Notamacropus eugenii: one gene and its partner. The protein of the gene in region 1 purifies or fractionates together with the protein of each later gene. This does not show direct contact. Links are inferred from orthologs where the notes say so. Each region holds a gene or a part of one and is shown on either strand. Other genes may lie near its edges. The genes, in order: ITPR1 and ERLIN2.

What was found.
Region 2: the proteins of ITPR1 (region 1) and ERLIN2 purify together in Homo sapiens (affinity purification with western blotting, with the first as the bait; 4 studies listed by BioGRID). This does not show direct contact. The link is inferred for Notamacropus eugenii from reciprocal best matches to the Homo sapiens genes ITPR1 and ERLIN2.

Annotation. Positions count from the first base shown.
Region 1 is NC_092874.1:441,488,313-441,500,782, forward strand, and holds the start of ITPR1 (inositol 1,4,5-trisphosphate-gated calcium channel ITPR1), read right to left. Parts: upstream 6,157-12,470; 5' UTR 5,977-6,156; intron 5,136-5,976; 5' UTR 5,060-5,135; intron 1-5,059. UniProt on the Homo sapiens protein: Inositol 1,4,5-trisphosphate-gated calcium channel that, upon inositol 1,4,5-trisphosphate binding, mediates calcium release from the endoplasmic reticulum (ER).
Region 2 is NC_092872.1:623,275,485-623,287,867, forward strand, and holds the start of ERLIN2 (erlin-2), read right to left. Parts: upstream 6,106-12,383; 5' UTR 5,984-6,105; intron 4,729-5,983; exon of another isoform or gene 2,588-4,728; intron 2,265-2,587; 5' UTR 2,250-2,264; coding exon 2,143-2,249; intron 136-2,142; coding exon 54-135; intron 1-53. UniProt on the Homo sapiens protein: Component of the ERLIN1/ERLIN2 complex which mediates the endoplasmic reticulum-associated degradation (ERAD) of inositol 1,4,5-trisphosphate receptors (IP3Rs) such as ITPR1.

The DNA of each region.
Region 1 (12,470 bases):
TATGAGCCACAAGGCAGAGGTAAAGATAATTTGCAGGTAGCAAGGGGAGTAGACTCTAAGTTCATCAAGGGAAAAGCCTACTTTGGTTCTTCTTTCTGTCTATGGCATGGCCAGAGAATGGTGCAGAGCTGAATAATACAGATCTAGTAATACCAGCAGGAGGATGTGCAGGTTCCCTCTCTGGGACTGCCAACTGCCTGGGACAAAGCATAAAATCTGGATGGAAGCAAACAAATGACTCCAAGCAGGAACAAAAAGACAGACCTCCGTCTCCCCTGCAACTTATTTCTTAACCATTTCTTAGGATCTGTCTCTGCTTTCAAAGCATGGCTCAGGGGCTACCTCATTTATAAGGCCTTTCTTGATCTGGATTGTTAATGCTCCTTTTCTCCTAAAATTGTATATATTTGTACAGGTTTGGGAAATATGAGGAACATGGTCAAAAAAGTACTGAATTTGGAGTCAGAGGAAATGTCTCTTTCCCTATCATTTACTATCTCTATGATCTTGGACAGAGGTCTCTTCACTTTCCTCACCTGAAAATGAAAATATTGGACTAGTTTGCCTTTAAGATCACTTAAGGCTCCCGATCAATCATTCTAGCATAAAATTTATATTAGAAAGGTAGCATGGCATAATGGATAGAGTGTTAGTTTTGGAGTTAGAAAGACCTGGGTTCAAATCCCATCTTGAATGCCCATTAGACATAAGATCCAGGGGCCTTAAACTCTCAACTTCAGCCTCCTCATTTATAAATGGGGGATAATCATGATGGCAGAACCTATCTCACAAGGTTGGTGTGAAGCTTAAAAGACTTCTTCTATAAATATGTATGTGTGAGTAGGGGGAGAGAGTGAAAGAGAGCACCAGCTCTTTGCAAATTTTAAAATACAATGTAAAGTTAATCACTATTGATTTTTTTTGTTATTTGTTTCCATAGCACCCGGCCCTTAGCAGGTGCCTGATAAAAGTTTGTTCATTGACCATGCACCTATCTGCACACGTGTTGACGGGGCTTATCTCCACTGTGTCTTTGTATCCCCAGTACCCACAACAGTGTAGTCGTCATACATGGCAGATGCTGACAGACTGATAAGGAAGCATACAGCTAAAAACTTAGAAATGGAGTCCAACTTTATGAAATCCAGGTTTCTGAAAATAAAACTCATACCTTTGAAATGGTCACACAGTTCAGCGACATTTTTAGTCACAATGAGAAAACATGCAAGAGTTTGGAAAATGTCAAATAAAAGAGACAACAGAGCTCAATTCTACAAGTCAGCAAGAATGTCTTCACCTTAAACCCCATTTCTCATGGCTGTTCCTTTAGCCAAACCGATCTAGGCCCAGTGTATGGGCTGGAGGGATTGTGATATGTTGGCCTCCTGTGGGGAGGGCAAACAGTTTGTGTAGTAGCTTGGCTCTCACACTCAGTCTGGGGGTTCCTTTCTAATTTTTTGTATGCCGTTGACCCCTTTGTTAGTCTGGGGAAAACTATGTGCAAAACAAGAGGCAGAATGTCAGAGTGGGCAAGGGTTCAGCCTTGGATCCAGGTAAACCTAGATTCAAATCCCGAGACATTATTTGTGTAGCCATTGACAAGACACCTTGAGAACCTCCACACAACTCTCTAAAGTGTCTAAAGCTACAGAAGAGGTGCCCACCTGCCTCAGGGGAGGGAGATGGCACACAGGGATTTCCATACACTAATGAAATCACAGCTTGGGACGAAAGACAAAAGTGCCAATAGGACCATGTTAAATGCTGGGGATGGAAGCTCAGAAAAATCTCAAATAGTTCTTGTCCTCCAGGATTTTGTTCTACTATTGCTAAAGACTGCAGACTGCCATGGTAAGCCAGCATTCAATTCCCTTCATTAGTTCTCAAAAGTCAGCCTCTAAGACACTGTCCACTTTCCGAAAACAACAACGATGCTTATGTCCATGCACTAATATTAGTCAGGACAAGCGGCTAATCCTGAGCTCTGCTCTTTAGGGACAGCAAGTCAGCAACATGGAATACAGGACGATAACTAATATCACACATCTAACAGAGATGGCCTATGAATGCAGGAAGTGTGAGTGTATGTGTACATGTGTGTGTTTGTTTTGAACAAAATCAAACCAACAGCAAATAAGGCAAAACATTTGCCGTGTGTAGACTCTGCTTAAACCAGGTCTATCCCAGGGCAGATTGACTCAGAAAAAGAAATCCAAGCCAAATTTAAATTTTATTTTTCTGCTGTCTGTACTCTGGTTTCTTCATAAGCTGCCCATTTAAAAAAAATCACAAACAGATTTCCTATGGAGCCTAGAAAGTCATCTGATAATACTTTCTCAACAATTCTCTGAAAGTGGATAATTTTGTTTACTGACTTTTTTCTTTAGCTTTGTTCTCCTCCCTTTAAATAAGGCAACCGTTTCCAAATCTATCCTACATATTTTCATCTTTTTTTTATTCTATTAATTCATTTATTTTTTCTACTACATGATGCCTCTGTTTAGGTTCTTAAAGAACAAAGAGGGTTATCCTCTTTAAAAACAGAATACCAATGTAGATGATGTCTTGTCTTGTCATGTTTCAAACATATTGCATGAGATCCAACATAGAGGCCAACATAATTCATCTCAGTGCTACAGGATGATAGGCTTCTACCAGAGTTTTGTTAAAAGGGCTTGTAAAGAAAAATCACTAAGGACAGATATTCCATTTGGAACATGCAGAACCTTCCATGGCTGATAAAGGAAAGAAAACCTTGAGAGGCCTTTCAGCTCTGCGTTGGATTAGCCAAAGGGCAGCCTGTACTTCCAAGACAGGGGAAAAAATGTACAATAGGCAACAAAGTAAGCTCGAAGGTTATGCGAAAAGACACCAAAATTACTTCTGCAACTTAAGCTGTAAATTCATTTTATCCAATGTTTCCTGCTATTTCTTTCATTTACACTATACTAAATAAGTCCCCTAAGGACTAAAGTCATACCTTATTATTTTGGGATCTTCCCTGGAGTCTAAAGCAATGCCTTGCACATAAATCAGAATGATAAGACTGTTTCATCAGTTGGAAGAATCCTGAGAGACCATCTAGTCCAGATCTTTTATTTCAAAGACAATCAAGCCAACAAAAGGGACTCGAATTTGTCAAGGTCCTACGGTGAGTTAGAACTGGAACTCACAGTATTTGCAAAATGAACGAATAAATGATGATATGTTCTAGTCTCATGGGAAGCATTCTGCAAACTTTAAAGCACTATAGGATATTAGCCATTTATTATGATGATCACTTGCTTTTGCCTGCAAACACTTAGCAGAAGATGGTATCTCACTTTGAAAGTGGTTCAAAGAATTAAGCTGAAACCAGTTATTATATTCTCAGACTTTTAAATCCAAAACTTCATAGTAAAAGACCCATACTGCTTCCTAACAAGCCCAGTGCTTTCTTCCCAAATCACGCATCTCTTCTTGAGATTGCAACCTGGACAGACCAAGCAGGCCCTAGTGATCCATCCTCTAGGTGACAAATTTTGAAATTCTCCCAGGTTTTCTGATAATAATGTTACACTCAATCTGCATAGGATCACAGGATCACACAGGCATAGAAGAAGAAGAAGCTTCAGGGGTCATTAGTGAAGCCCCTATCCCTGTTTACAGATGAGGATATGGAAGTATAGAGAGCCTATGAGATTTACCTACATAGGCAACAAATAAGAAGCAGAACCAGGATCTGGGGAACCTGAGCCCTTGTAATTCTCCATCCAGCATTCTTTGTCACAACCCCAAGCAACTTCCTTTGATTTCAGAAAGCAAGAAACCATCCCAGAAAATTCTAGTCCCTGAAGAAACCAAAAATATATGGCTCTTATAAACAGGTAGGATATGGAGCATATGATAGAGAGAATTTGTTGGCATGTCCTTATCTCTGACCCAAAAACAGGCATCTGAGAAGCATTGTGGTCCTAGAGGGAGGGCCAATCCGTGGCTATGAAGCTGCTCTGCTCAGTACAGAGCTAACTGGTCAGGAAGGGGATGGAACTCCCAGCTTTAACCTCATTAGCACCACATGAATTAATGGGCCCAGTCTCTCCACAAATACAGATGAATAGATTACAAATGCTTCCCACTCCTTTAGCACTCTGGAGAATTTTATCAACAGGAAACAAAAGCGCTACACCTCTTTAATGAAGTGTCTGATTTTTTTTTTCTTTTCAAATTAGAAAAACCCAAAGACTGTAGCCCAGGGAACAGCTAAATATTTAGACTGTTACATGAGTTACCAAGACCCATCCACCCCCTGTGGCCCTGTTTTTTGACCATTTAAGAAGAAAACTTCAGATGGGCAAGCTTACAGTTGTATGGATGTATGTACACAGTATGAGCCTCCCTCCACTAACGCATCTCAAGCCAATCTGGAAAAGCTGGCGGGCCTGTGTTTATAGCAGAAACCCTGGCCCCAACTCACATCCCACAGCAGGCACTACAACAGCATTAACTTATTGAATCCTTTGACATGTGCTTGGCTTCAGGCCATCTGCTGAGTGCTGATATTTTCCCCTTCATGTCTAGATTTGACATAGTTTTACAATATAAATAAACAAACCCAATCAGCTGTGATTATTTCATTTACCCAAAGACAATCCTTTCTTCCCATCCAATCCTAAACTGACAAGCACATATTCACTTGGTAGAAAGTTATTTTTGAGGCAGTTAATTTTGCTTATATGTTTGGCAGATGAAACACAGTATAACTTTGAAAATTTAAATCACATGCACACCACCTAACAAGTCAGATTTTCTTTTCTTCCTCCATTTAATGCCTTCTACCTTCTTACAGATCTTTGATTTGCCCACTGCAATTGTGACTCTGGGTGCTGGAGTAGTGATTGATTCCCTAAGGCAACTCAACTACCCCATGCCATGAGTGTGCTCCACACAACTGTCAGCAAGGTGAACAGTCAATACCAGCCTAAGCCCCACAGTCTTTTCTCCTCCTTCATCCCATTTCTAACAGCTTTAAGGGCCAGGGGGCAGTTAGGAAGCAAAGCTCATTACTAATTGCACTCACCTGTCACAGTAAGCCAGCAGTATCTACAGAACACCCAACCTGGGGTGGTGCGGCTCCTGCTCCACTGGGTCGGCGCCTGAGTTAAGAAAAAAAAAAAAGGAAGAAAAATGACTCATTACAAGGGCCACAGAATGTCAGTTCTTGCGGTGTCTGTTCAAGACGACACCAAGAAAGATCTCTTAGCTCAGGTGACCTCCGACAAACTTGATTGCTCCGACCCTCCACGATTCCGCTTCAGCCCAGATCTAAAACCTGAAGGGAATTTCTCTGTTCCAGGCACGCACTCCATAAAGGCGACAGATAACACTCTAGGTCTCGCATCTCCGCAATATTCAAACAGTTCAGGGGGAAAAGTGTGAGCAGATCCCCAAGCACTTGTTTGCTGCAGGAGAAGGGGATGGCATCCTTTGCGATGCTGGGCATCCTCCGCCGGCTTCCCAAACACAAACAGGCTACGTTCCCAAACCTCATGTGTTCGGGCCCCCGTTTTCACCTTTCCCAGCCCCCCAACCCGGGCACCACGGGCACCCCACAGACCTGGGTTTTCCCAAAGCGTGCAGCCGGAGGATTTTTTTCCCAAGATTGTTTCCTCAAGGAGATACACTCGCGCATTGCCTTGCCCCCTCCACACTCTCACCCCCGGACCTATTTCCTGCCACTGGTTCCTAGCTCCTAACTTGGGGCTGGGAGAGGGAGCGGGACCGAACCCTCCAGTTGTTCTGGCTAGCGGAGGGGGGACCTATATGCCAAGGGGGTAGGGGGGCAGATCGCTGACAAGGGCACTCCAGCTGTGTGCCAGCAGCCCCGAACCCTGCGGAGCCCCGAGCGCCGGGGAGGGCGGAGCAGAAAAGTTCTGCTCCGTCTCCCTCGGCCACTTCCCTGCACGCTGGCCGCTGTCCCCCGGCCCGAGACCGTACCTCGTCGCCCCCAGGAGAGGTGCCCGCTTCGCTTCGGGAGCCGGGCTCGGAGAGCGTTAGCAGCTACTTTGTCATTCCATGTCCCCGCAGCTGGAGCTCGGTCCCGTTAGGATGGACGCGGGCTCGCCACCCTCCTGCGTCTCGTCCCGTCCCGTCCCGTGCCGTGCCGTCGGGTGCCTCGCCTTTCTCTCGCTCCGTCCACCTCCCCTCTGCTCCTCCTCCGGCCGCTGCTTCTCCTCCTCCCCCTCCTTCTTCTTCTTCTCCTCCGCCACCTCCACCACCACCTCCTCCTCCTCCTCCTCCCACCCCTGTGAGTTGCAGGAAACGGTTCAGCAGAACATCCACATGGTTACTGCACTTGGGCTCCGCTTCGCCGCGGCTTATATACCCCTCGTGGCTCCCTGGGCAATGTAGTCCAAGTCAAGGGTCTCGCAGGCGCCTCCGGCGGTGAAACAAAACTACAATTCCCAGAATGCCTCGGGTTTCCCGGGCTGAGGTTCCAAATAGTCTCCCTGGCTTTGGGGCATCTGGGGAACGGAGAGTTCTGGGGAAGCGAGAGCAGTGGGAGCTTTCTGGCTTGTCGGGGTCCGAGGGAGGGTCGTTTTGTGTGGTCTTCTAGGAACCAGACAGTTTCCCGACCCTGCCCTGGCAGGCTGGGCTGGGAGCCTTAAGGTCCGAGGCGGCGTGCCTCCAATCTCCCGGGCCCCTCCCCACCCCAGACCCTCGAAGGATAGCCTCTTAGGCAGCCTCTGGGCCGGGATTAGACTTATATTTTGGGAAGTTTTTGCTTTGTTTCATTTTAATGGGCTGTCAACTCCAGTTTGGGCCAATACACCCTGGCCAAGAACTTCAAAAATCCACCCAACGCACAAAAATGCCAGTGCAGTCGCTCCCCCGTTAGAAGGCGCGCTCCCCTGGAAAAGAGAACGAGGGGTTGGTTGGGTTGGTTGGTTGGTTTGGGGCGGGGGTCAGTCTTGCTTTTCTCTGTATCCCCAGGGCTTAGTGACTGCTGGATGCCAGCTCCGACTGAAGGATGAAGACCCAAGGTTGCCTTTAACTCCCAAACCCCAGCCCTGGAGTGGCATGTCAGCGATGGGACTTGCATGGGAGGCTGAGGGGGTCATCCGAGGGGGTCTACACGGGACGGACCTCGCGGAAGGGGCGCACATGGGGCACCGGGCACACACTGGCGAGTCCTTGGGGACTCTTCTACCTAGGGGCGGGCGGTATGAAAACTTGATTATCCGGGGCTAACCAATGAACGTTACGATTTGTTAATGAAGAGATTTGGAAGCGAATACACGCACGAGCGCGAACACTAGCATTCCAAACAAAATCAGAACCATCGAGGGCGACATGCAGCCCTGAAAGCACCTAAACTCGAAGCGTCGTTTTAAGTCTCTGACAAAGCAGCAGACTGGAGGGCAGGAGCTTGGAGCCAGAGGACTAATCTTCATTCCTCCTCTTACTTCCTGCCCCCCTCCAAAGCTTCTAAGCAGGGGGCTATAAACTAGCGGCTTGCGGGTTCGCTTTCAGCATTGATAACTGTTAAAACACACATTTGTTTTGTTTTCAAAGCAGGCCATTCTGCCCCAGGGTGATAGCACCCACGAAAGGTGCCCTCTGCCAATCAGTCAACCAACAAGAATCTATTACGTTCCTATCATGTGCGTGGCTCTGCGCTAGACGCTGGGGATTCAAGGACAAAAATGAAATAGCCCTTGTCCTCAAGGAGCTTCCATTCTATGGCGAAGGCAATACATATACAGGTACATAATACCGTGTCCCAAAAGTCTTAGTGCATATCCAAGCTATTAAAGTTTAAAGCTGAACTAAGACTTTTGGGACATACGGTGCAGTAAATAGAAAGCAAGACAATTTGGAGTGAGGCATTAAGGCATTAACTTGGGGGGGGGTGGCGTGGGGAGGGGGTATTGAGAAAAGCCTCTTGTTAAAGGTGGCCCTTGAACTGAGCTTTGAAAGAAGTGAAATTTTAAGAAGCCATGGATGGTAGTACATCCCAGACATGGGAAATAGTCAGTACAAGAATAGAGGGAGGACAGTGCCATGTCTGAAGGACAGAAGGAAGGACAATTTGGTGGCATGATGGAGCATCATGGGGAATAATAAAGAGTAAGACTGGACAGGTAAATGGGAACCAGTTTGTAAAATGTCAGAGGAGTTCTGGAAGGCTTTAAATGCCATCGGAGGACACTATATTGAGCCTTGGACACCTGGTAAATCACTCCAGGTTAAATCAGTTTGTTGGCTTGGTCAAGTCATTTTCTCACTACCTTAGATTAACCAAAGGAAAAACAACAGAAATCTACCCATATTGCATCGTTATAGGGCTTCAATGGAATTCACGTTGGTTTTAGGCATCTGTTTGACACTTCATGACCCCATGGACCATACCCTCTATGGGTTTTTCTTGAAAAAGATGCTTATGTGTCATTTTCTTCCCAGTAGATTAAGGCAAATAGAAGTTAAGTGATTTGCCTAAGATCACGCAGCTAATAAGTGTGTGAAGCTGTATTTGAATTCAAGTGTTCCTGTTTCCAAGCCCAGTACTCTATCCACGTAGCCATCTAGCTCCTCTATGATTTTAACATCACTGCAAATACAAGTAGAAGACCGGGGGAAGGAGAAGCAGCATCACTGACTGACTGTACACTTCATTCATCATTTTTGTAAAAAGCACCTGCTAGCCCACTTTATCGTAGAAAAAACTATAAAGTCCACAAAGTTTGTCATGTTCCTTTCCTTTTTTGTTTTCATTCCCTCCTTCCTTTTGAAACTACCTTCACTCTTTCAACTTTCCCCCTAGTTCCCGGTGCTTCTATGCTCCCCCCCAAGCTACCAGACTCCTTTTCCACCCCCAGTCCTACCTAGATCCCTTCTCCTCTGCAGCCCAAATCAATTCAACAAAAATTTATTAAACACTTATCACATGCACATTATTATATTAGATACTTCCCCTCCTTGGCAGTCCCCAGAGCTTAAATATATCTCATCTTTCTCTTCCCTAGTATCACTTCACCAGGTGAGAATTTGCTTGTCTCATCACCTAAGGTCCTGCTTCTCTATTTTTAAAGGTGGCAATGGTAGGCCACAATAAGAGTTTTATGCATCATCCTTTCCAGGCATTTTAGTAAGGGTTTGGGGGAGAAACATTAACCCAAACAAATTACTCTAATGGCCAGAATTTCAGGCAAGTGGCAGAATGATAGAAGAAATTTCAGGGGTGGGAGAAAGGGGTCAGTTGGTACCTTTCAAGTCACAACCTAAAAGTGATTGGCCCAGTTTGACATCACTAACCCTGGAGTCTGACAGCTACCAAAAAAATTTATCTACCAAGATCGTTCTGATATAATCAGAGTGAGAGTGTTTTGCCCATCCCTAATCTGTGAAGAGAAGGAAGTTTTAGTTTTTGCCAAAGGCCCTCATCTTCCTTGACCTCCTTTGTAGCATCTGACTGCAGCTAACACCTACTTCTGGGTTTCAAAGACCTCTCATTCATCTGACTGGGCTCTTTCTCCCCGCTTTGCTAATTCCTTTACTTTTTAAGATCATTGTTCCCCCAAGGCTCCATCTTTGATCCTCTTCCCTTTTCTCCCTCTACTCTCTCTGTTGGCAATCTTATTCATTCCTAGGGCCTCACTCTGATTCCTATGCAGATGGTTCCTAGCCTGACCCCAGTGATGAACTCCAGACCCACATTTCCAATGACTGGTGGCTCAGCTTTACCTGGATGTTCCACAGCAACTCAAAATCAAATGTGCTACCCAAGAGACAGGGTACAGATGCAGACCTGGCCCAGACCTTGATCCCTAGCCAGAACTGTATGCTCTAACTGCCTATTGAGCACATCTTTTCCTAGATGAGTAATAACCACCTCAAATATAACATGTTCAAAGTCAAGCTAATCTTTCCCTTTAAATTTTCTTTTCCTTCTAATAATGGGCTTGATTACAGATCGAGATGGAAGCAAACTCAAAAGTGATCTAGCTCAACCCCCACATTTTGCAGAATAGGAAAGAGAAGTGAAATGACTTGCCCAAGGTAATACAAATAGTGAATATCAGAGGTAGAGTCTGGATCCAGGTCTTTTGACTCTAGAGACCCAAGATCTTTTCACTGTGCCATACTGTTTACCTGAGGCCAGGAACTCAGCTCAATTATAATGTCAAATCATTCTACAGAACAGAACATAGGCTCAGACATTTAGAGTTGAAAAGGACCCCGCAGGCCATCTAGAGTAATCCCCTTAATTTACAGATGACACAAGTGAGGCCCAGAGAGGTCAAACAACTTGCCCAAGGCTACACAAATCTTCAGTGCCTTTGCTATTTTCATGGTTAGCTGCATCGGATCTCTGCTTGAAAACGTGCTGTCTTTGACTAATTCTTTTTCTTCAATAAACATATCACACTGGTTATGATCAATAAGCATTTATTAAGCACCTACGATATACCAGTTTGTCCTTAAATTTCCTTTCTACTAGTGTATGCAGTACACCTGTCACATATGGTATTTATTGTCTGCATGATCTTGGCAAGAACTTTTTCTCCCTGGACCGTAGTTTCTCCCTCTATAAAATACAAAATGATACATTCTATAGAGGGAGATAACATATGTGTGTGTATGTATGCATACATACATAAACACATATATACTTACTTATATCTACATATATAGAGATATACAACATATATCCTTACATTTATGTATAGGGGATAGGGACCTGTAATTTCCTTGGTATTTCTTTGCTGAATTGAATATAAGAAGGTGAAATCAGAGCACTCTGAGATGTTATTGTTTGTCCTTCCTTTCCAAAGAGGACCAGTGACATTGTGGGACGTTGCCTTGACTTGTGCATGAATTGGATTCAAGTGAAGCCGACTTGCACAAAGTCATCCGCCTCACTCTCTCTTCTAGAGTCATCAAAGTTCAGTGGAAAGACAAAAATCAAGACAACTGGCAGTAGACTGAGAAATACTATCCTATTTATTCCTCACAACAACCTTAGGAAATAGATACCGTTATCATCTCCCTTTTACAGATGAAGAAACTGAGGTACACAAAGGTTCAGTAACTGGCCCACCATCACACAATTAGTAAGTTTCTGAGGCTGGATTTGAACATGCCCAGCCCTCTATCCACTGCTCTACCTAGCAACCTCAAGATAGCTATATAAAAACAACCAACAGAGCTGTACCATGTGGATTTGTTTATAGGAATAGAGTGTTTACGATGGCAATTCAGGTTCTGGTGGCAATTCAGGTTCTGGTCATTGCTCCAGAAGTTATGGTAGGCTTATTTATAAGAAGCTCTGAATGAATGATCAATGTGGATTATACAAAGAAGGGATAAAACTACAGTATGTCAAATCTGCATTAATCACCACCTTGGTTAAAAGTCGACAGTGATTTCCTATTGTCCACTGGATCAAATACAAACTCTTCTGTCTGCCTTTCAAGATCCTCCATAATCCAATCTTGTCTCATCTTGGGACTCACTCTGAGTCAGGAAGACCCAGGTTTAAACAGTCTTTGATTTCACTGGTCGTTTCACCCTGAACAAGTCACTTAAATACCTGAGCCTAAGTTTCCTCACCTTTAAATAGGGATAGAAATAGTACCTGTCTCACAGAGTAGAGCAATAATGTACATAGAAAACCTTCAGGAGTCATAAATGTTAGGTAGTAGTCATGGTATCAATAATATTGAAGTCATGCTTATTCCTGCCTCTTTGTTGTTGCTGAATTTTTTTTTAATAGAGGACTAGCACTTCTGGAATGTGGGCTTGCCGAGCTGTTTTCAGGACTGCTCATCTACTTTTACTGTCCACCTTCACCCAATTCTCACATGTGACTCCAGGACCATATCCTGGTAAAAACCATCTCAGCAGACGGGCTAAACAAGGTAACTGGTAGGCTTCAAACACATTGGTGTGTTTAGGTGGATGTCTACCCCAAGCATGTGAAGACTTTCCCAAGTATGATAGGCAGATGAGAACAATTTGTTCAAGGGTCATGAAGGCAGCTGAAGCAGTTCTGTGGAGCACTTCAAGCTTGGTCAGACATGGAAGGCACCCAGATCATCCACTTCTCTGCAAGACCTAAAGGTGGAGATCAAGGAGGATTTCCTAGGGAAGTGAACTTTATCTCCTGTCTCCATGGCTTTACCTCCAATCCATAGAATCTCTCTTGTCCTTCAATACTCTTCTCAAACAACAACTTTTATAGTTTCCCCTAATCTTCTAAAGTGCTAGAGCCTTCCTTTCCCAACTACCTTGAGTTTATTCTCTGTATATATGACAGATGACTAATCAATTGATAGATAGATGATAGGGATATATAGATGAGTGTTCCAAAAGTCTTAGTGTGAGTTTAAGCTTTAATATATATAACATACATATAATGTAGATGTATAATATGACTACAAATATCTATTATATGTGTGTGTGTCCCTGGTTAAAGGCAGATCCTTGAG
Region 2 (12,383 bases), on another chromosome or scaffold:
AGTTCCCCAAAGTAGTCACTAAAGTAAGCATCACAACACAAAAGCCAAAGTACCTGCACAGACTTATACGACGTGATGAAAGGAAGCATGAGATGGAAACCAGGGCCACTGGTGGAGGTCAACAGAGCACCACCTCTGCAGGAAAGGAAGAGAAAGGCAGGCTGAGTTAAAGCCAAAGGCTCCTAAAAGGGGCCTGAGAACTCGGAAAAACCATAGACACTGCACGTACAAATGTTCTACGGAGTGCCATAAGCCTTCTTCTTGGCAACTCTGCTTCCTCTGGTGTCTTTCTCTTCCCCAACCCCTCCTTCAACTCAATCCTTTTGTATTAGGCAGCATTGACACTCAAATTGATTTGTCTCAAAATGACCAGGGAGCCATGCCTTTGTTAGGAATGAAGTGTACACACATGCTATCTGGAATGAGGCAAAAAGTCTCCATTTGGAGTTGAGCTAAGAGTAGAAGCTGGTTTTGCTCTGCCACAAGTGGTACTTAGTGACTAGCTAGGAGGTGGCAATCCATTATGGAAGCTGAAAGCAGGAATTCAGGTCAACACTTAATGATGCTGGGGAGGAGGGATGTGGCCAATCAAAAAAACCCATTTTCTATGTGGTTTGTAATATAGTCGGGCTATTTCTTGGGTAATAGATTTACTCTCCCCATTTTGTGGTATATAAATGGATATCAGAATTAGTTTCTTTCCCTTAATTTGATGGTGAAGGGAAGTGGGACAAGAGTATGTCGGGGGGGGGGGGGGGGGGGGGGGGGGGGGGGGGGAAGGGAAGTCAATCTAACACTAAAAATCAGGTGTGGACTGTTGACAAAGATGTTGCTAAGCACTGCTCAATAAGTTCTCACTCACTGACTGATGGCCCCTACAGCTCAGTTCACAAAAGGAAGGCCACAGGGCTCAGTAACATGGCCACATTTTAACTCTAAAATCAAAGATTTACTCCAAGGATATGTGATTTTGTTGGTGCAAAAACTCTCTCCTTTGACCAAGGCTGCACTCCCTCCATTCCATAGTGTAGGGGTTCTTTACTTGAGATTTGTGAACTTTAAAAAAATCTGTTTCTTGCTAACTGTATTTCAATATAATTGGTTTCCGTGTATTTTATGTTGTGTATTTAAAAACATGATTCTGAGAAGGGTTTGTAGGCTTCACCAAAAAGGGGACCATGTCACAAAAAATGTCACTTGGCAACAAACCTTCTGGTGATGAGCCTCTGGGCAAATAGTGAGGCTGGTTCACAAATCCCCAGATCATACCCAAAGCCCCTTCAGCTTGGCCGGACCTTCCAGAGTATAGTCAGTAGATATTTTCTGAGAATCCAGAGTCATCTCCCCACCATGATGAGGTAGACTCAAAGATTAAATCTTTTGGATAACAGTGCTAAAAGTGAAGATAATTGGGTGGCTTATTTATTCCAACAGAAATCTCTCAGAAACCTCCTTCTCCTCCACTGGGTACAATTTTTAAGAAGGGCCCCAAAGTCATTGGTGTTTTAATTAGACAAGGAGGTAACACTGCCCTTTCCTGTTGTCATCAAGGGCAGGTATCTAAGTTGACTTCTTTAGGAGCAAGCAAGAAGCCTTTTAAGCCAAATGAACAGAAAACTGACTTCCAGAACCATTCTCAAACCTTTTCATTTTGCCTCTGAACCAGCATAGATTGAGAGAAAAGGTCTGGGTTCCAATTACAGCCATGTGACGCTGGGCAAATTCTCTGATCCTTAGCTACTTCATCTGCAAAATGGGAATGCTATTCCCTCGAGCTACCCACTCCACAAGGTATATATCGTAAGGAAATTCCTTTGTTTGGCAGTGAGCTGTTACTATGACTAATATTGTCACCTGCCATCAGTAGTGTCACCTGAATGTGGCTAGACAGAGTATCCCAGTTTTAGCACAGTTTTAAGCTATTAAAGCTCCAAACTGCATTGAGATTTCTGGGACACCCTGCACATATAAACAGATCTATCAGTAGTTGTTACTATACAGCAGCAGTGTAATAGAATGCTCCTGTCCCCCAGGCAAACGAAACCAACAAAACCAGAACTGAGCACTGGCTGCAGGAAAGCAAAGAACCATCCTGAATCTCAGAGAGCTGGAAGTCTCTGCAGCCCTGCCCCTTCCTCTTACCTGTAGTACACCCCAATGTGCCCTTCTTCAATCTTGTGCACAGCGGAGAAGAGGGCTGCACAGAAGAAACTAGTCGCCACAGCCACCACTGCCCCTACTTGCGCCATTGGGAAGCTTTTACTCTAGAGAAAAGGGTACAGGGAAACACGTGATGGTTAGGACTCAGGAGAAAAGCTACAACACTATTTCACCAACATGCATACCTTGCATCATGCATAGCTGACTCCTCAGATTTGTTCCTGTCCTAATGCCAGTGGAACATAAAACTATATTTGCAACTACTTTCACCTGATTTTTTTGGGGGGGACAGCACAGCAAATTCTAATAGAAAAAATCAAGGAAGTACATGTCATCAAAAATAAGGAGAAACATCATATATTAGAATTTGTTAAATGCAAGGTACCCTAGGGAGGATCTCTGAGCAAATTCAAGAAGGCAAAGATACCTCTTTGCAAGGGCTTGTTCTCTTCTCTATATATTTTGCATCTGAATTTGTCTTTTGGAGTCATCAGTGCAAATGCAGATTCTCTGAGCATGAGAAATCACATGATCCCAGGACTGAGGCTTTTATTCTTGCCAGAATAGCCAGACCCCTGAATTGCTCGACTTGAGTCTTCAGCCTCACTGACTGGATCTCGTGGGATCCAAACTGTCATTTCATCTATAGTATAACATCCTCACTCTCTGAAGCAGAGTTTGAATGCCTGACAAGCATTCAAACTCTGCTTCAGAGTACAACTCTGATGGGCTGGCCATGTTGCTCAAATGCAAAATGTATGCTTGCCAAAAAGACTATTTTATGGAGAACTTGCATGGGGTAGGTGATCACATGGTGTTCAGAAGAAACAATACAAGGACACTCTCAAGAACTCTGGATTTGATTGTGCGACATAAGAGACACTGGCACAGGACCATTCCACATAGCATGCCCACATCAGAAAAGGTGCTACGCTCTCTGAGCAAAGCAGAACTGAAATGGCACAAAGGAAACGCAGGATGTGCAAATTTGGAGCAACCACCGCAAATGTTCATGTGGACTATCTGTGCTCAATCTGTGGTAGGGCACTCTGAGCTCATATCGGTGTGATCAGCCAGTTGTACACGTTGAAACTTCACTTTATCATGGTGATGTCATTTTGGTCCTCTTCAAGAACGAAGGATAACAACTAACCATCTTACTACAAAACCTCTCCAGAGTCTTTATGGGTATTAGACTGCCTCTAATTCTGTTGCTCTTTACCCAGGATCTTGTCTTACGTGGCCCCAAAGATTGTCCCTTAAGGATCAGTAGAAGGAAAACTCTTGAACAACATTTCTATCTCCTAAAAAGTCCTATAATCCAAGGGAGAGCATAGGATAGAATTCAGATTCATCTTTCTCTTCTTGAGAGCCCTGGAGACACTAAACAACCTAGGATCTCATGAGTTAGAGAGGATTTTTAGAGGCATCACTTCTCCTACCACAATAACAAGTCATCATTCAGGCTCCATTTGAAGGCTTGTAGTGATTGAGAAGGCTCTCCTTCCCAAAGTAGCCCATCCCACTTTTGGCATAGTTATAATTGTCAGAAAGCTGTTTCTTGTATTGAGCTGAAACTTGCTGTCCCGCAGCTTCTGCCCAAGGTATCCAGTTGTGCTTTCTGGGACCAAGCAAAATAAGTATAATCCCAATTCCTATTGACAGTCCTTGAAAAACTGGAAAACTGTGATCCTGTCCTTCCTACATTTCTCCTTTGGCTAAACACCCTCAGGCTCTCAACTAACTGATCTTCCAATGGCACAGTCTGAAGGGACATATATTTGTCAAGGGGGAACAGGCCAGCTGCAAGTGCTGACTGACCAAATTATACAGGATGTCAAACGAACAGGAGACTATGGCTATGTAATTCCAGCCAGAGCCACCCAATGCTAACTGCAGGGTATTTCAAAGGAAACTGTTATTTACTCTTTTCACATGCTAGGGTGATAGACAGTATACGCACAGCAGGGTTCCAGGGCAGGATTTTCTAGAGTGCCTCCTCCTCTCTCCTTTCCCCCATTATTCATTTGGCCCTTAGTAGGGTAGGGACTTGTCACTTGGGAAAACGACTGAACACACAGCACTGCCTTATACACGGTACTTGAATAACACTTTATAGCTGATTATTCCCCAAGGATATCTGTTGAGACAAGCAAAAAGGGCTCAGAAGTCTAGAGTCTGGCCATGAATATCCAGCTGAGCTTAGACATCAGAAAGCTTTAGAGAAGTTATTACTGCATTTATTTTTTTGGCAATGACCTTTGAATAATAAGGGTCAACTTTTAACTCTTATGGGCCCTTAGCACCCAAGATTTACTGCCAAGACCATTTTTCATGTCATGGGACTGTTGGAACAAAATAAGTTCTTTTTGAGAGGGTGCACATACTACTGCTGTGGCAGCCACTTCTTAGATTTTCCACTTCTGTTCAGTTTTCCAATCAGGAAAGAGGCCTTGAAGAAAAAAATACCTTTTGTCCAACCATGTGTAATGATTTTTCATTTGGTAAACAAAGTCGCTGTAACTATACTGGTAAGGGCTGAAGGAATACAGTTTGGAAATATTAGTCAGTAGCTGGTTAGTTGAATCCCTATCAGCGAATTTTACCTTCTTCTCCTTCAACAGAAGGTGGGCAGGAGAATGGGAAAAGAAATAGATAGCAGGTATCCTCAAAGCATTAGCTTACACTTGCAAAAAAGCCAAGATTGAGGTCTCTGGATTCAACAGTCCCTATATGCCACCAGACTGGATCAAAAGCTGGTGCAACAGAGAGGTCAAAGAGTGCTATGGATAAGGTGGGGCTTGATCAAGTCCCACTTTGGGGTCCAGGAGGCATGTGGTTGAGGTGTAAAGTATTCTGGATTTGGAGCCAGCAGATGCAGGTTTGAACGTTGGCTCTTCAGTTTAACATTAGGTAGCATTTAAATGGTGCTTTGATGTGGTGAAGAACTTTGCACTAGCTAGCATTTATTTATACAGCGCTCTAAGACTTGCAGTGCACTCCTCCTTCCCTAGCACTAACACAGCGCTTTAAAGCTGGCAAAGAACGCTACACTAGCTGGCATTTTTGCCTAGCTGACTTTGAGCCGCTTCTTCAGTCGTGTCCGGCTCCTCCGTGGCCCCAGGGCGGGTTTTCTTAGCAAAGATCCTGAAGCGCTTGCCATTTCCTTCCCCTTCTCACTTTACTGAAGAGGAAAGCAGGGTTACGGGCTTGCCCCGGGGTCCCCGGCTGGGGAGTCTTCCTGCCCCCAGGCCGGGCACTCTGCCCACCGGGCCATTCGGCTGCCCTCTAGCTACCCTCACCACAGCCCTGGGAGGGGGCGCTCGCTATCACCCCGCTTTGGCGCCCAGTCCGCTGCTCCGGACCGCCTCTGGGCCACGGCACCTCCCCGGGCCTCAGCTTGGTCATCTCGGAAATGGGCGGCTTCTGACGGTCAGTCCGAGGCTGGGCCTTATCCCTCACAACACCAAAGCTGCCCAGGTCGTTGGCGTGGTCCTCGGGCCTCACGTCCGTCCAGGGCGGGGCGGGCCAAGCAACGTCGGGGGGCAGACGGCGCCCTGGGGCAGCGAGTGACCGAGGGTCAGGCGCGGAAGGGGCTTTGGGGATCCTTGAGTCCGGCCCCCCTCCCCCTCCGCGGACAGACGAGGAAACTGAGGCCCAGAGGTGGCAGGAGTCGGGAGAAGGCGGTGGGCTTGCAGACCCCCGCCCCGGAGGGTGGGAGCCCGAGCGGGGGGGCGGGGGGCGGGGGAGGCCCCAGGAGGGGAGAGAGTTGGGGGAGCGGGACGGGGCGGCGTCTAAGGCTGTCCCTCCTGGCGCTCAGTACCTGTCCGAGCTCCCTCCCCGGGGAGCCGCTGCCACTCCGCTCAGCACAGCACGTTTCCTCCTTCCGGGTCCGTCGCCGCCGTGACACGTCATCAGGAGGCGCGGGGGGCAGAATTCCTGTGTCTCCCTCTCTCCCTGAGCCTTCCTTCCCTGCCCCGCCCCCACCGCGCCTCTGCAGCCGGCCGCGTTCACCCGGCCCGATCGGCCACAAGGGGGCGCCCATCCCTCGGTCCCACCGACCCCCGGGAGGGCCTGGGCAGCGAATGGATGGATGGAGTCCTGTGGGGTGGGCAGACGGGGGAATAGAAAGTCGTGAAGATGGGGGTGAGGGGGAAGGAGGAGGATGTCGGTCTTGCCCTCCTGCCCTGGCCCAGGATGCAGGGATCAAGTCTCCCCATTTCACAGACAGGGAAGCTGGGCTCATGTCTTTAAGAGGGAAATCACGGGACCCTTTCGTGTTAGAGAGAAAGAGGGTCTGGAAGGGGGGCGGGCGAGGCCTGGCCAGAGCTTAGACGGGTCACGTCACTTCTCCGAGACTCAGCTTTCTTCTCTCCAGAGATGACTGAGGTGGTAGGACACAACACATAGAGGTTGGCCTTGGTGTTAGGAAGAGTCAAGAGTGGCCAAGGATAGATGGGAAAGTAGAAAGGAAAGGACTGAGCCTTAAGTGCCTATGATGTGCGGTCACTGTGCTAAGTGCTAAGGCTTCACAACATGAAGTCATTCAAGCTTCACAACCTTGGGAAGGAGGTGCTACTATTATCCTCATTTACTGTTCAGGGAACTGAGGCAGACAGAAACAAGTGACTTGCCAAGGGTCACTTAGCTAGTGTCAGAGATGGATTTCAAGTGTAGGTCTTTCCTTACTTCTAGTTTAGTGCACTTTGCGCCATATCCTGCTGTTTTCAACAAATGATCTTCTAGCCTCCACTTAAAGATCTCCAATGATGGGCATCAGGGTAGCTTCTTGTACCATTGGACCGCTCTAATGATTAAGAAGGGGCTGTTCCTTCTGTGGAGTTTAAGTCTGCCTCTCTGCAGTTATCTCTGGCCATTGCAAGTCTTCACTCTGGCCATCATTTCCACTCTTTTCTTGCTGGAAAACTGGGCTCTTTCCCCTTGGAACCTTCTTTGGCTTTTGGTCAACATTGGCCTCGTTTTGCTCAATTCTAGGTCTTTATGGCATTCCCAGATACCTCCATGACAAATGTATTCCCCTTCTACACTCTGTCCTTGTGCAGATCTCTTTTATAGATTTCATTCCCCATTAGAATGGAAGACCCTTGAGGGCAGAGACTGTCTAGCATGCTCTTATTTATATCTCTATGCTTAGCATTTAATAAATACTCTATGTATTTATTGTTTACCCATGTATCTATGTCTGCTATCTCCATCCATCTATCTATCTATTTATCTATCATCTATCTACTCATTATGCCTAGTTCTTTCCCCTGGAGCCTAGCAAAACTGGTTTAATCTCTCTTCCACATGACAGTTGTATAGATATAATGCCTCCCCTAAATATTCTCTAGGCTCAGCATCCTCAGTTACTTGAACAGATTCCCATGTGACATCTTCCCATCCGTCTGTTCTCTGTTCAGCTCCCTTTCTCTGGTTCTTTAGCCTGACAGTTTCCTTTCTACTGCGTCCTTATGAGTTCAGAACTCAATGCAGCATGCCAGGTGTAGTCTGAGGAGAACAGTGTCCCATCACTTCCTTCATTCTCAGTTGTGGCAAAGTGTCTGCAAAGGGAAAGAAGGGTCTTACATCTTCGGTTTTTGTAAGTATTTTGTTAGGTCCAAGATACAAAATTGGAGAGGAGAAGAAAAATGGAAATAAATGCTATGCCTGTGGATGCCTAGAAAGAGGGTGCCTAGAAGGAATGAGGAAGGAACTTAGGTCAGTCATAGGGGAAACTCCCATTTATCCTGGGGGTAGAAATCAGAGACCCATGATCAGGCAGAGAAGACTGAGAAGAAGCAGTAAGACAAGTAGGAGGAAATAGCAGTTCTACAAAATTAAAGGAGGGTATCCTACAAAGCCTAAGAGCTGAAGAGAAGAAGAATTTTTTTGTTGTTGTCAAGTTGGACACAACTCTTCATGGCCCAATTTAGGGTTTTCTTGGCAAATAGGCTGGAGTGGTTTGCCATTTCCTTCTCCAGCTCATTTATAGAGGAAGAAACTGAGCAAATAGGGTTAAATGACTTGCTCAGGGTCACACAGCTAGTGTTTGAGGTCAGATTTGAACTCAGGAAGATGAGTCTTCTTGACTTCAGGCTCAGCGCTCTATTCATTTCACCACCTGATGAAGGCTGGTAGAAGGTCACTGGCTTTAGGCAAGGAAGACAGTTGTTGGTAATCTTGGAAGGAGCAGTTTCACAGAAAACAGGATCATTTGTTTAGGAAGTTGAGAGTGGTGATTGTGAAATATCTCTTCTTATTCCACCACAGAAAGCTCAGTGATTTCTAGATTTTAACATGGTACAGTAGAAAGAATGCCGGGTTCAGAGTCTGAGGATCTGAGTTCAAATTCTGATTTTGCTGCTTACTGACTATATGTCCTTATACAGGTCACTTAACCTTTATGGGAATTGGTTTCTCATCTGTAAAAAGAGGGGATTAGATTGGATGACCACTGAGGTCCCTTCCAACTCCAAATCTGTGATTGAGAGCCTATAATCCTGAGAGTCATATCATAAAGTGGCTAAATCAGAAATGCCCACAATAGGCCATGGTTCAAAGCCACCATAATTCTTACTCATTCTTTATACATTGTAATCTGGTGCTTGGGTCTGCAGAAATAAAGTTGTTAGAAACCTCAGAAAGAGAAGACTTTTTATTTCATCTCCTGCTGGGGCTAGGTGATTTTGTTTCTATTTCATGGAAAGATGTGTAGTATGGTATAATATAAAGAACATTGGGCTGAAAGTCAGGAAAGTTGGTTTTGAGTGGAGGCTCTGACTGTAATTAGCTGTGTGGCCTGAGGCAAACCATGCACCCTCCTCCACCTCAGTTTCCTTGTCTGAAAAATGAAGGAGTTGATCTAAATACCTCTTTGCTCTGTTTGAAAGAAAAAGTTTGGGGACCATGAACTCATCCTAATGGATTGGCTCACAAAGAAGGGAATCGCTTATTCTCTGGAAGGACAGATTTAGGGAGGGGACCTTGTTGTAAATCCAACTGAGAAGGACTTTCATGCCACTTAAAAAAATCAGGCCCGAAACAGCCATAATGTTTGTCAGGCCACATTTTACTGTTCTTAAATAAGTGTGCAGGGTGTGGGAGATGAAATATGGCAGGTATTTGATTTAAAAAGCCGGCACAGATTTAATGTCCTGATAAAATGTATTAAATCTTTTAAGGTTTTAATGAATCTAGTATGTGTTTCATAAATCAAGGAACGCCGGGAAGCCGTCTCCCAGTTTAATAAGAGTAAACTAGGAAATTGCTCTGAGCAGAAGCAAAATACATTTATATCACATTGAAAAGTAATAGATTTTTAAGCAGTGGGGTTTTTCTGGGGCTTTTCTGAGTCGTTTGCTTATTACGTTGCTCTGGTTCCTTCAAATATTAAACCACGGGCAAACACGTGCTTAACCATATAAAGATGTGAAACTGCACAAAGGTAAATATTATTTGTTAGAGCCGGGAAAACAAAGCCTGTGCTTTGCAAAGTTTTCCACCGGAGCCAGACTGTGTTTCTGTACAGAAACCTTCTGGACATGGTTTAACACTGCTGAAGGCAGAGGGGTTTGTTTTTGTTTATTTTTTTAAAGGAAAAGATTATTATTGTTATTATATATTAACTTTTATTAGCCCCTCCTCTTCCCTAAATTCCCTCCCACCTCCCTTTATTCTGAAGTACTACCTTCCCTCTTTCCTACCCTTTTCTCCACTCTCTCTCCGCCCCCAACTGCTTGATTGAAGCGGTGAGTGTATAAAAATCCTCTTTGACTTTTACTGGTTCGCTTTGGAATGGGCTCATTAAGGCAGATTGCCTGTAGTCGGTCAGACTGGCCAGAAGAGGAGTCCAGGAGCCTTTCGTCGCTTTTAAATCCAAGGAAAAGGGGGTTCCCTTCGGTCTTGCTCTTCTCACAGTTTTTGTATACATCTCCCAGTCCCCTCTCCCTCCCACCAGGCCTGGCCTCCTAGTCAAGTTCCCTGGCCCCTGACTGGGGCAATGCCTTCATGTTGGGTGAGGTGGCCCAGGGCAAGGAGACCTTTGCTCTGGGCCTTTGTTCCCAGGTGCCACTGCCTTGGGCAACTGCAGCCTGTGGCGCTGGGGAGGTGGCCTTGGGTCGTCAGTTGGGGGTTGGGGGGCTCCAGCATTCTTGTGCACAAAAGCTGGCAGGGCTCGTGAGCTCTGCAGGGGAGGGAGCGGGGGCCCATAAAGCTCACTGTGGAGAAGCCTGTCCAACCTCATTAGCTGTCACGGGCAACAATACTGATCTGGCAATAAAGGCGATTCCAAACCTGTTGGTCATTAATCACTCGCCTGACAGTTTCGAATGGCGCTGGAAAAACCTCATCCCTTTCCACCACCCCCACCCCCTTCTCCTGCCCAGGCGCTAACGTTTAGAGCTACCTCCATGGGTATATGCGGTTCGTGTGGCTTTTTGTGTTGTTGTCCTGTTCCCCTGGGCCACCCCTCCTCCATGTGCCCAAGAGTGATGGGGGCAGGGGGTGGGGGTGGCGTACCCAGCCTGGGTGGCCTAGAGCTTGGCAGTAAAGAGAAGAACTTTGTAGGGGCAGAGCTGAGAAGTGGGAACTGCAGTTTCCTTGAGGCATCGATCTGGCCACTTTGGGGGTGAGAGGTCTGGTCTCCCTGCCAGATCAGGAGCTTCTCGGGAGCCAGACTCTTGTCATTTTCCATCGTTTTCTTCCCCAGTGAGTAGCTCACAGTGCCCTGACACATAAACTCTAAATCACCTTTCTGGGCCTCAGTTTCCTCATCTGTAAAAGAAAAATCCTGAATTGAAGATCTCAAAGGGCCCTCCTTCCAGTTTTAAATCTTATGATTCTAATAATTAGTTGTTGAATTGAATAGCTAGATTAGCTGGAAAACTTGGAGTGAGTCCTTTCCCTTCCCCCCCAGATATATTGTTTGGATCTCATTTCGTCTGATTCACATCCCACCCATTTTCCTGTTCTCAAGATCAGAGAGCTATGGTGTAGGGCTACAGTGTAAGGCTACCTTCATCAGTGTCCAGAGCACTGGTTTGGAGTCAGAAAATACCTGGGTTTATGTAGTGACTTCTACTTGCTACCTGTCCTTATTTGTAAGATGTGAAAGGTTGGATAAGATATTCTCTAAGCTCTTTTCCAATTCTGTGACATTATGACTGCTCCTTAAATGATCTCCTACCCTTCTTTTCCTACCTATTTCCCCAAGCAGGAGGCAATTCAAAGAGCAACCTCAGACTTTTACACTTCTAGATTCCTTTGCTAGGTCCTGCCCATGACAGAATTTCGAAGCAGGCAGTTTATTTTTAGTTTCCTTTCTTTTCCTTTCCTTTCTACACCCATTCCCTATTCACTTCTCTCCTTTTTTTGCTTTTTAGCTATAGATTACCCTTTCCTGCTTTCTGGAAAGAGAAATGCCATATCAGAATTACTCTAGGGAAAGGACTGAATATCAGTCACTTACCTGAGAGTATGAATTTAAGCCAAAGAATTCCATCTGTTTAAGTTTCATTCTCAGTGGTAGAATTTCAGGGTCTGTAGGTAGGTAGGTGGGTGATTTTGGGTGGGTGAGAAGAGTTCTTTTCTGGGTATCCATGAAATCATAGTATCAAGCCATGGGGAAGGTAATATAGGGTGTAGCAACAACAACAACTCATATTTCTATAACATTTTAGAATGAATGAAGTGCTTCCTTCACAACTGCCTATCATTATCCCTATTTTATAGACGAGAAATGAAGGTTCAGAGAGGTTATCACTTCCCCAAGGTTACTTGGCTGATATGTATCATGGAGGATATAATAATAATTCCTGTTTAGGTAACACACAAGGCTAATACAACCACCTTACAATACTGGTAACATACCTGTTTTGGGGTGAGTAGCATCCACAACTTTAGCTGACCCTCATCTTCAAATCCTTTCTTAGTGCCTTCTTTCACAGTGCCCTGCACTGTGATTAGCCTTATTTTCTCTATTATTGTAGCTGATCATGTCTGTGGTAGTGTGTACAGATACAAAGGGCTTCACCAATGAGTTTAATTGCAGTGACCCCAAACTGTGACCCTATTTAGTTGGTGCCTGTCTCTCTACTTTATAGTTAAGTATGTAGTTAAGAGACCAGAAAAGGTAGGTAGTGGGCTCCTGAGTAAGCCACAGATCGAAAGGAGAGGAGAATTCATAGCCCTTCCATTTTCATGTAGTTGCTCGAGCCTTTTGG